Linked DNA regions of Ovis aries. The protein of the gene in region 2 purifies or fractionates together with the protein of the main gene of each other region. This does not show direct contact. Links are inferred from orthologs where the notes say so. Each region holds a gene or a part of one and is shown on either strand. Other genes may lie near its edges.

What was found.
Region 1: the proteins of EEF1A2 (region 2) and VARS1 purify together in Homo sapiens (co-immunoprecipitation; 3 studies listed by BioGRID and IntAct, counting the BioPlex papers as one, with this or other methods). This does not show direct contact. The link is inferred for Ovis aries from reciprocal best matches to the Homo sapiens genes EEF1A2 and VARS1.

Annotation. Positions count from the first base shown.
Region 1 is NC_056073.1:26,622,985-26,627,409, forward strand, and holds part of VARS1 (valine--tRNA ligase), read left to right. Parts: intron 1-29; coding exon 30-149; intron 150-242; coding exon 243-351; intron 352-443; coding exon 444-538; intron 539-768; coding exon 769-859; intron 860-1,056; coding exon 1,057-1,181; intron 1,182-1,264; coding exon 1,265-1,368; intron 1,369-1,447; coding exon 1,448-1,606; intron 1,607-1,720; coding exon 1,721-1,811; intron 1,812-1,938; coding exon 1,939-2,044; intron 2,045-2,129; coding exon 2,130-2,200; intron 2,201-2,289; coding exon 2,290-2,415; intron 2,416-2,704; coding exon 2,705-2,809; intron 2,810-2,891; coding exon 2,892-2,960; intron 2,961-3,098; coding exon 3,099-3,177; intron 3,178-3,302; coding exon 3,303-3,430; intron 3,431-3,761; coding exon 3,762-3,917; intron 3,918-3,994; coding exon 3,995-4,201; intron 4,202-4,284; coding exon 4,285-4,396; intron 4,397-4,425. UniProt on the Homo sapiens protein: Catalyzes the attachment of valine to tRNA(Val).
Region 2 is NC_056066.1:53,857,316-53,860,864, reverse strand, and holds part of EEF1A2 (elongation factor 1-alpha 2), read right to left. Parts: intron 3,052-3,549; coding exon 2,872-3,051; intron 2,422-2,871; coding exon 2,125-2,421; intron 1,759-2,124; coding exon 1,608-1,758; intron 572-1,607; coding exon 315-571; intron 1-314. UniProt on the Homo sapiens protein: Translation elongation factor that catalyzes the GTP-dependent binding of aminoacyl-tRNA (aa-tRNA) to the A-site of ribosomes during the elongation phase of protein synthesis.

The DNA of each region.
Region 1 (4,425 bases), on a different chromosome or scaffold from region 2:
CCATCTCTGGCTTCCCCTGTTCCCACCAGAAACTGTCAGCAGCCGTGACAGAGGCCTTTGTACGGCTCCACGAGGAGGGAGTCATTTACCGCAGCACACGCCTTGTCAACTGGTCCTGCACCCTCAACTCTGCCATCTCTGACATCGAGGTGTGCCCCTTCCCTCCCCCCAGCTCTCCACATCTCCACCACACCCCCCCAGCCCCAGCCCTTGGGCCTCTTTTCTTAAGCTCTGTCTCATAGGTGGATAAGAAGGAGCTGACAGGTCGTACCCTGCTCTCCGTGCCTGGCTACAAAGAGAAGGTGGAGTTTGGGGTCCTCGTCTCCTTTGCTTACAAGGTCCAAGGCTCAGGTAGGAGCCAGGGGCACCAGGATCCTGGGCTGGGTTGGGGGAGGGGCAGGAAGGGCGCACTGCTGAGACCACAAGGCCTCCTGTCACCCCAGACAGCGACGACGAGGTGGTAGTGGCAACCACTCGGATCGAGACGATGCTGGGAGATGTGGCTGTAGCTGTGCACCCCAAAGACCCCAGATACCAGGTGTGGTGGGGGTGCTGCCCGCAGCTGGGGGGAAGAATGCTGGGCTAGGAGGGCTTCTACACTATGTGTAGGGATGGGATGGGCACTGAGAAAATTGGATTCGAAACACATGGCTCTGGCTGCTTTCTGGCCCTGTGGATGGAGTTTGGGTGTCAAGAAATCAGGACCCTGCGTAGGAGGGAGTCGGGCCCAGCCCACTGTGCGTTTCTGGCGTCTCCCTCTGTCCCCAGCACCTGAAGGGCAAGAGCGTGATCCACCCATTTGTGTCTCGGAGCCTCCCCATCGTCTTTGATGACTTTGTGGACATGGAGTTCGGCACAGGTAAGCGCTGGGCTGTCCTGTGGGGACAGGAAGGAACCATGAGGTGCACCTGAACTTGCAGGACTTGGGCCGGTTCTCAGGGGACTGTGTCGGGGATGGGGTGGTCTGAGAGTACATCCATTAGCAAAAGGTGGGGTGCACGTGAGCAGAGACTGCACTGAGTCCTACTTGACCCTGCACCCCTACGTACACCCCAGGCGCGGTGAAGATCACCCCCGCCCATGACCAGAATGACTATGAGGTTGGGCAGCGGCACGGGCTGGAGGCCGTCAGCATCATGGACGCCCGCGGGGCCCTCGTCAACGTGCCCCCACCTTTCCTGGTGAGACAGCCTCGGCGAGGTAGCCATGTCAGGAGACAGCGGGGCTCCTGGCACAGCCATGACGGAGCCTGTCTCCCCCACAGGGCCTGCCCAGGTTTGAGGCCAGGAAGGCAGTGCTGGCAGCGCTCAAGGAGCAGGGGCTGTTCCGCGGCATTGAGGACAACCCCATGGTGGTGCCACTTTGCAAGTGAGGGCAGAGGCCAGGGCAGGGGGTGGGCGCCTCGGGGTGCTCCCCACTCAGCCTCCTCACCCACGTGTACCTGCAGCCGCTCCAAGGACGTGGTGGAGCCTCTGCTGCGGCCACAGTGGTACGTGCGCTGTGGGGAGATGGCTCAGGCTGCCAGCGCTGCCGTGACACGGGGTGACCTCCGTATCCTGCCGGAGGCCCATCAGCGGACGTGGCATGCCTGGATGGACAACATCCGGTGCGTCAAGCCCCTTGATGTAGAGAGGGCAACCAGGCGAGGGACCGAGCCGGGCACACCCTGGCGCCCCGCCCGCCCCTCCTTCATGCCCTCTCCTCCCTCTGCCACTTTCAGGGACTGGTGTATCTCCCGGCAGCTGTGGTGGGGCCATCGCATCCCAGCCTACTTCATCACTGTCAACGACCCTGCCGTGCCCCCAGGGGAGGTGAGAACCAGGCCGGGGCTGGAGACTGGCACATCTGGGGTTGGGGAGGGCTTTCAGTGCATTGGGTCTTGGTGGGGGGACAGGCAGAGGTGCCCTCTTGGGTACTCATTCCACCTGGGCATGGCAGGACCCTGATGGGCGGTACTGGGTGAGCGGGCGCACTGAGGCTGAGGCCCGGGAGAAGGCAGCCAAGGAGTTCGGCGTGTCCCCTGACAAGATCAGTCTCCAGCAAGGCAAGGCAGGGCCGTGCGGTGGGGGGCAGTGGGGGGCTGATCCTCACCTCTACCCCTCTGACTTCTGACCTCTGGCCCCCCTCAGATGAAGATGTACTGGACACCTGGTTCTCCTCTGGCCTCTTCCCCTTCTCCATCCTAGGCTGGCCCAACCAGGTACATTCCTGGGGCCAGCCCAGGGCTGGGTGGGAATCTTGGGTGTGGGTGCGTGGCTCCCCATCACTCATGCCCTGCTCTGACCCCAGTCAGAAGATCTGAATGTGTTCTACCCGGGGACGCTGCTGGAGACAGGCCATGACATCCTCTTCTTCTGGGTGGCCAGGATGGTCATGCTCGGCCTCAAGCTCACTGGCAAGCTGCCCTTCAAAGAGGTGTGGAGACTGCCGCTACCCCCACAGTCCCCTCCCTCACCTGGACAGCTGTGGGTGGGCTCAGCCAAGGAGGCTGGTGGGGCTGCAAACCAGCCTGCGCGCTGCTAAGCAATTCTGTACCTTGCTTCCTAGAAGAGGGAGCACTTCTGATTCACGAGAAGGGGCTGGCGGGGCCGCTGAGGGGCCCGAGGTTCAGAGAGGAGCAGACCAGATGTAGGGGTGAGGGGAGAGGCATTGGGGTCTAGGTGGGGAGATGTCCTCACAGGCCTTCCCTGCCCTGACCTCGCAGGTCTACCTCCATGCCATTGTGCGGGACGCCCACGGCCGGAAGATGAGCAAGTCTCTAGGCAACGTCATTGACCCCCTGGACGTTATCCATGGGGTCTCCCTGCAGGTGGGGCTGGGTGCTGGGTCAGGCCGGGAAGGGCTGTGGGGCAGTGGTCACGGGCCCCTGACTGCTCCCACGTCACCTTCAGGGCCTCCACGACCAGTTACTGAACAGCAACCTGGATCCCAGCGAGGTGGAGAAGGCAAAAGAGGGGCAGGTACAGGGGGCAGATACAGGGGTGGGCCAGTGGCTGGCATGTGGGCAGAAGGCGGGTGAGACTGGCTTAGGACACTCCCCTCCTTGACTCCTCCTCTGTTGATTCCTCCCTCTCCGTTGACTCTTCCTTCCCCCACAGAAGGCAGATTTCCCGACGGGGATCCCTGAGTGTGGCACCGATGCGCTCCGGTTTGGACTGTGCGCCTACACGTCCCAGGGTATGGCTCCCTGCGGCAGTCTTAGCTGCATCCTTCTTCCTCCCCGGAGGCACCCCACTTTCCGCTGCCCAGGGCCCAGGGCTGGGAGGGAGAGCAGTGTAGACTCACGCTTCACCTCCGCCTAGGCCGTGACATCAACCTGGATGTGAACCGGATATTGGGGTACCGCCATTTCTGCAACAAGCTCTGGAACGCCACCAAGTTTGCCCTCCGTGGCCTTGGGAAGGGTTTCGTGCCCTCGCCCACGTCCGAGGTGAGAGCCTGGTGGGCCGTGCGGTGGGCAGCACCCACGTGGGTCACACTCTTGCCATCCCAGCATCAAGCCTGGCCCCTGCCCTAAGGAGCCTGCGTGTAGCTGGGGGAGCAGGACACAGGGGAAGCCTCAGGCACTGCAGTCCTCCCGCACAGTGGCGCAGCCGGCCCTCTCTGGCCTGGGCCACCACTCTGGGCACGTGGTGGTTGCTTTGGACCCATCTCCTCCTGGAATGCAGATTCCCCATGGTTCCCATTCCCATGGGGTTGTGGCCCCTCCTCCTGGGCACATGGTGCCCCCTGGCTGACAGGCTCCTCTCCCCCCCCGCAAGCCTGGAGGCCACGAGAGCCTGGTGGACCGCTGGATCCGCAGCCGGCTGACCGAAGCTGTGAGGCTCAGCAGCCAAGGTTTCCAGGCCTACGACTTCCCGGCTGTCACCACCGCCCAATACAGCTTCTGGCTCTACGAGCTCTGCGATGTCTACCTGGTGAGGAGGAGCTGCCTGCCCCACTTCCTGGTCCTTGGCCTTCTCCAGCCCTGAACCCTGTGCCCCTCTGTCCCCAGGAGTGCCTGAAGCCCGTGCTGAATGGGGTAGACCTAGTGGCAGCCGAATGCGCCCGCCAGACCCTCTACACCTGCCTGGACGTGGGCCTGCGGCTACTCTCACCCTTCATGCCCTTCGTGACCGAGGAGCTGTTCCAGCGGCTGCCCCGGCGGACACCACAAGCTCCCCCTAGCCTATGCGTCACCGCCTACCCAGAGCCCTCGGAGGTATGGGGTATGGCCTGGATACGGGGCTCTGGGGAGCTCCTCAGAGCTGCCCCAGCTTCCTTACCCCCTTCTCCTCCCCTCAGTGCTCCTGGAAGGACCCTGAGGCAGAAGCTGCCTTCGAGCTGACCCTGAGCATCACTCGAGCCGTGCGCTCCCTGCGTGCCGACTACAACCTCACCCGGATCAGGCCCGACTGTGAGCCTTGGGCCCACACGTTCCCCTGT
Region 2 (3,549 bases):
AGTAAAGCCAATTAAAAAATCCTACTCATGTACAGAGGTGACCAAAGAGGGCACAGTAAGCATGTAGAGAACAAAGTACCACAGGCCTGTTCCAGCAGTAAACTGAGAACAGCCTTTTCAGGACCAGAGCGGGGACTCAGTGAGGCTAGGAGCACCCTGCCCGCTCTTCCTGCCTGCAAAGGAAGGTTCCCTGTCCTTGGGGACCTGCTCTGCAAAGCGAGGATCTCAGTCCTCCCTGGCACCCAGCAGCCCCCTTGCTGAGGATAGCCCTGGTACTGCCTGGGGTAGGCCCTGCTGGCCACCGGGCTGCCCACCTGGGACGTGAACTGGGCGGCTTCCTGGGGTGGGTCAGACTTGCTGTCCCCACACACGTTGCCCCGGCGGATGTCCTTGACTGACACGTTCTTCACGTTGAAGCCGACATTGTCCCCAGGCAGGGCCTCGCTCAGAGCCTCGTGGTGCATCTCCACTGACTTCACCTCCGTGGTGATGTTCACGGGTGCAAAGGTCACCACCATGCCAGGCCGCAGGATCCCTGTCTCCACTCGGCCCACAGGCACGGTGCCAATGCCTAGGCCGAGAGGAAGGGGGCTGTGAGGGCACGCTGAGGCCAGGGGTGCCCTGTCCTCCCTAGCAGGCAGGGAGTGGCCATGTGGTGGGAGGGAGGGGATGGGAGGCCCTGGGCAAGGCGGACCCTGGGACCTACAGACAGAGGTGGAGATCTTTCTCCTGCCCCATCTGGAGTAAAAGTGCCTGAGGAAGCAAGTTCCCAGAACACAGGGAACACAGGCAGGAGAGGCCCCATCTCTACCCCCAGGGGCAAGTGTCCCAACAGGAGGCAGCATGGGGCCCTCCTTGTGAGACAGCATCATTAAGCGGGCTGTGGACCAGCCCCCCCGGGGTGGCCCACCTGGCACTGGTGCTGCCATCTCAGGGGTGAGTCCCAAGGGGGCATGGTGCCCCCACACTTCTCAGGATCTGCTTACGCCGTGTGGCCAAACAGTGGGGGTGTGATGCCCCCCCAAGACAGGGGGCAGGGGGCTCGAGCCTGGCTTCCCTGGCTGTGGCAGAGGCTCCTGCGGCATTAAGGAGGCTGATGGCTGTGCTCTGTGCTGGGTGAGTGTGATACTCCACCTGCACCCAGGTCCTCAGCATCTCTGGCCACAGACTCCTGGCTGGGAGTCCCCCACTGTGGCCCCCTGTGGGCCTCACACTTGTTTATGTGTTTGCATCATTGTGTGACCAGCTCTTCTCATTCCTAGAGTGGATGGTGTCTCCTGCAAGACGGAGACTTCCAGGTGGAGGGTGATAAATGACTTTCCCTGTGCCACTGGTGCTGGCATAGGGCTGACACTTATTTGGAGGGAGGAAGACCCCGGCAGTCTTGGGATAGATGGATGAGCAGATGGATGGATGGATGGATGGATGGATGAAGACAGGTGGATGAATGGTCCCCCAGAAAGTGTGCAGCATGGTGGGAGGGGCAGAAATAACTGGGCCCTGGATGCTCCTGGTCTGGGGCCGGTTCTCAGGAGGGGGTCTGAGGGCGAGCTGGCCAGGTGGGCAGGGGCAATGCAGCGGGCAGTGGCCATGTGGACCTCACTCACCGCCAATCTTGTACACATCCTGCAGTGGCAGACGCAGGGGCTTGTCTGTGGGGCGTGTGGGGGGCAGGATGGTGTCCAGGGCCTCCAGAAGGGACACGCCACTGGCATTCCCTTCCTTCCTCTCCACTTTCCAGCCCTTGAACCAGGGCATCTGGGCAGGAAGAAGAAGGCACCTTCATAGCGCCCACCTCCCCCAACCCCATGCACCCCACAGCCAGAAGTGGGCAGATTAGCCTGGGCCCCTGCGGCCACTGCCCCCACAGTGTCAATCTGGGGCTGTCCCTGGCCAGAGAAGGGGCTGCAGCAGAAGGGGCCAGCCTCCTGGGGAAACTGAGCTGAGGGCAGAGTGCCTGTACCCAAGGAGGCTGTAGTTCCAGCCCAACACCCACAGAAGGCTAGTACAACAGTCATAGGGCTGAGGGCAGCCTGGGGACAGCTCCCTGACCCCCACTGGCCATCTGTGCTCGTCCTGACCCAGGGCCCTTGGAGAGCAGCCCTGCCACTGCCGGGCACTCACGTTGGGTGAGGGCTCCAGCATGTTGTCGCCGTGCCAGCCTGAGATGGGCACGAAGGGTACGGTGGCCGGGTTGTAGCCGATCTTCTTGATGTAGGCGCTGACCTCCTTGACAATTTCATCATAGCGCTTCTCGCTGTAGGCGGGCTCCGTGGAGTCCATCTTGTTCACCCCCACGATGAGCTGCTTCACGCCCAGCGTGTAGGCCAGCAGCGCGTGCTCCCGGGTCTGCCCATTCTTAGAGATGCCTGCCTCAAACTCACCCACTCCTGCAGCCACGATCAGCACGGCGCAGTCCGCCTGTCCGGAAGGTCAGGCAGGGTGAGCTTGGGCCCCTCAGGGCAGTGGACATGGGCCTGGGCAGTCACCTGGGGATAGAACCTGGGGGTCTCGCCCTTAGAGGCAGTGTGTGTCTGTGTGAATGCCCTGGCGATGTTGAATTGTCTGGGGCGGGGAGGTGGTGCATTTCTGCCTACATTCAGTGTCCCCATCCTGGCCTCTGTGTCCACTTGTCTGTGAAGTCGGCCTTGACAGTGGCCAGCTGACCTTATAGGCACTCTTGTCTGGCTGAGATGCTGGGGCGCTTACTCAATTCTTTGAGGGGTGAGTGGTGACAAAGGTGAGGGGTCTCATGCCCTGGTGAGGAAGCAGAGGAAATCCAACCACCGCTCATTCTAGGGCCCCCAGGGTCTCCTAAATGGTGTCCTTGCCCCACCTCCAGATCCCCCAGACCCCCGAAGCCCTGCCCACCTGGGATGTGCCTGTGATCATGTTCTTGATGAAGTCGCGGTGGCCTGGGGCGTCGATGATGGTGATGTAGTATTTGGTGGTCTCAAATTTCCAGAGGGAGATGTCGATGGTGATGCCGCGTTCCCGCTCTGCCTTCAGCTTGTCCAGTACCCAGGCATACTTGAAGGAGCCCTTCCCCATCTGGAGGGGTGGAGGCGTGGCTCAGGACGACCCGGACCCAACGGCCTGGTCACGGGTCCCCCTGGGCCATAGGAGCAGCATGTCACAGCAGAGAGGGCCCTTGCTCCTGCCGAGACCGGGGACTCTGGACCCAGCTCTGGAACTGGGCGGGGGACACCCAGACCTCATCCCTGCCTGCCCAGACCAGCCTCCTGCAGTCACAACGGGCGCCATCTGAGCATCCACCAGTAGGGGGCGCAAGGGCCTGGGAGCCGCCCTGGGAGAGAAGCGGCGGGCGGTTTCAAGCCCTCCCCTGGCTGAGGGCTCCCCTTTATCTGAAGCCAGAGTCTCCCCTCCCCCAGATAGATTTCTGTGTCAGCCGACGACACCACTGGGTTTCACACTGTCCAACCAAAAAACCCCTCTGTGATTTTTTTTTTAAGAAAGAAAGAAATCAGATGAGGTCGCAAGGAAGGGCCTGGCTTTCCAGCTCTTTCTACAGATAAAGCTCCCCAGTGG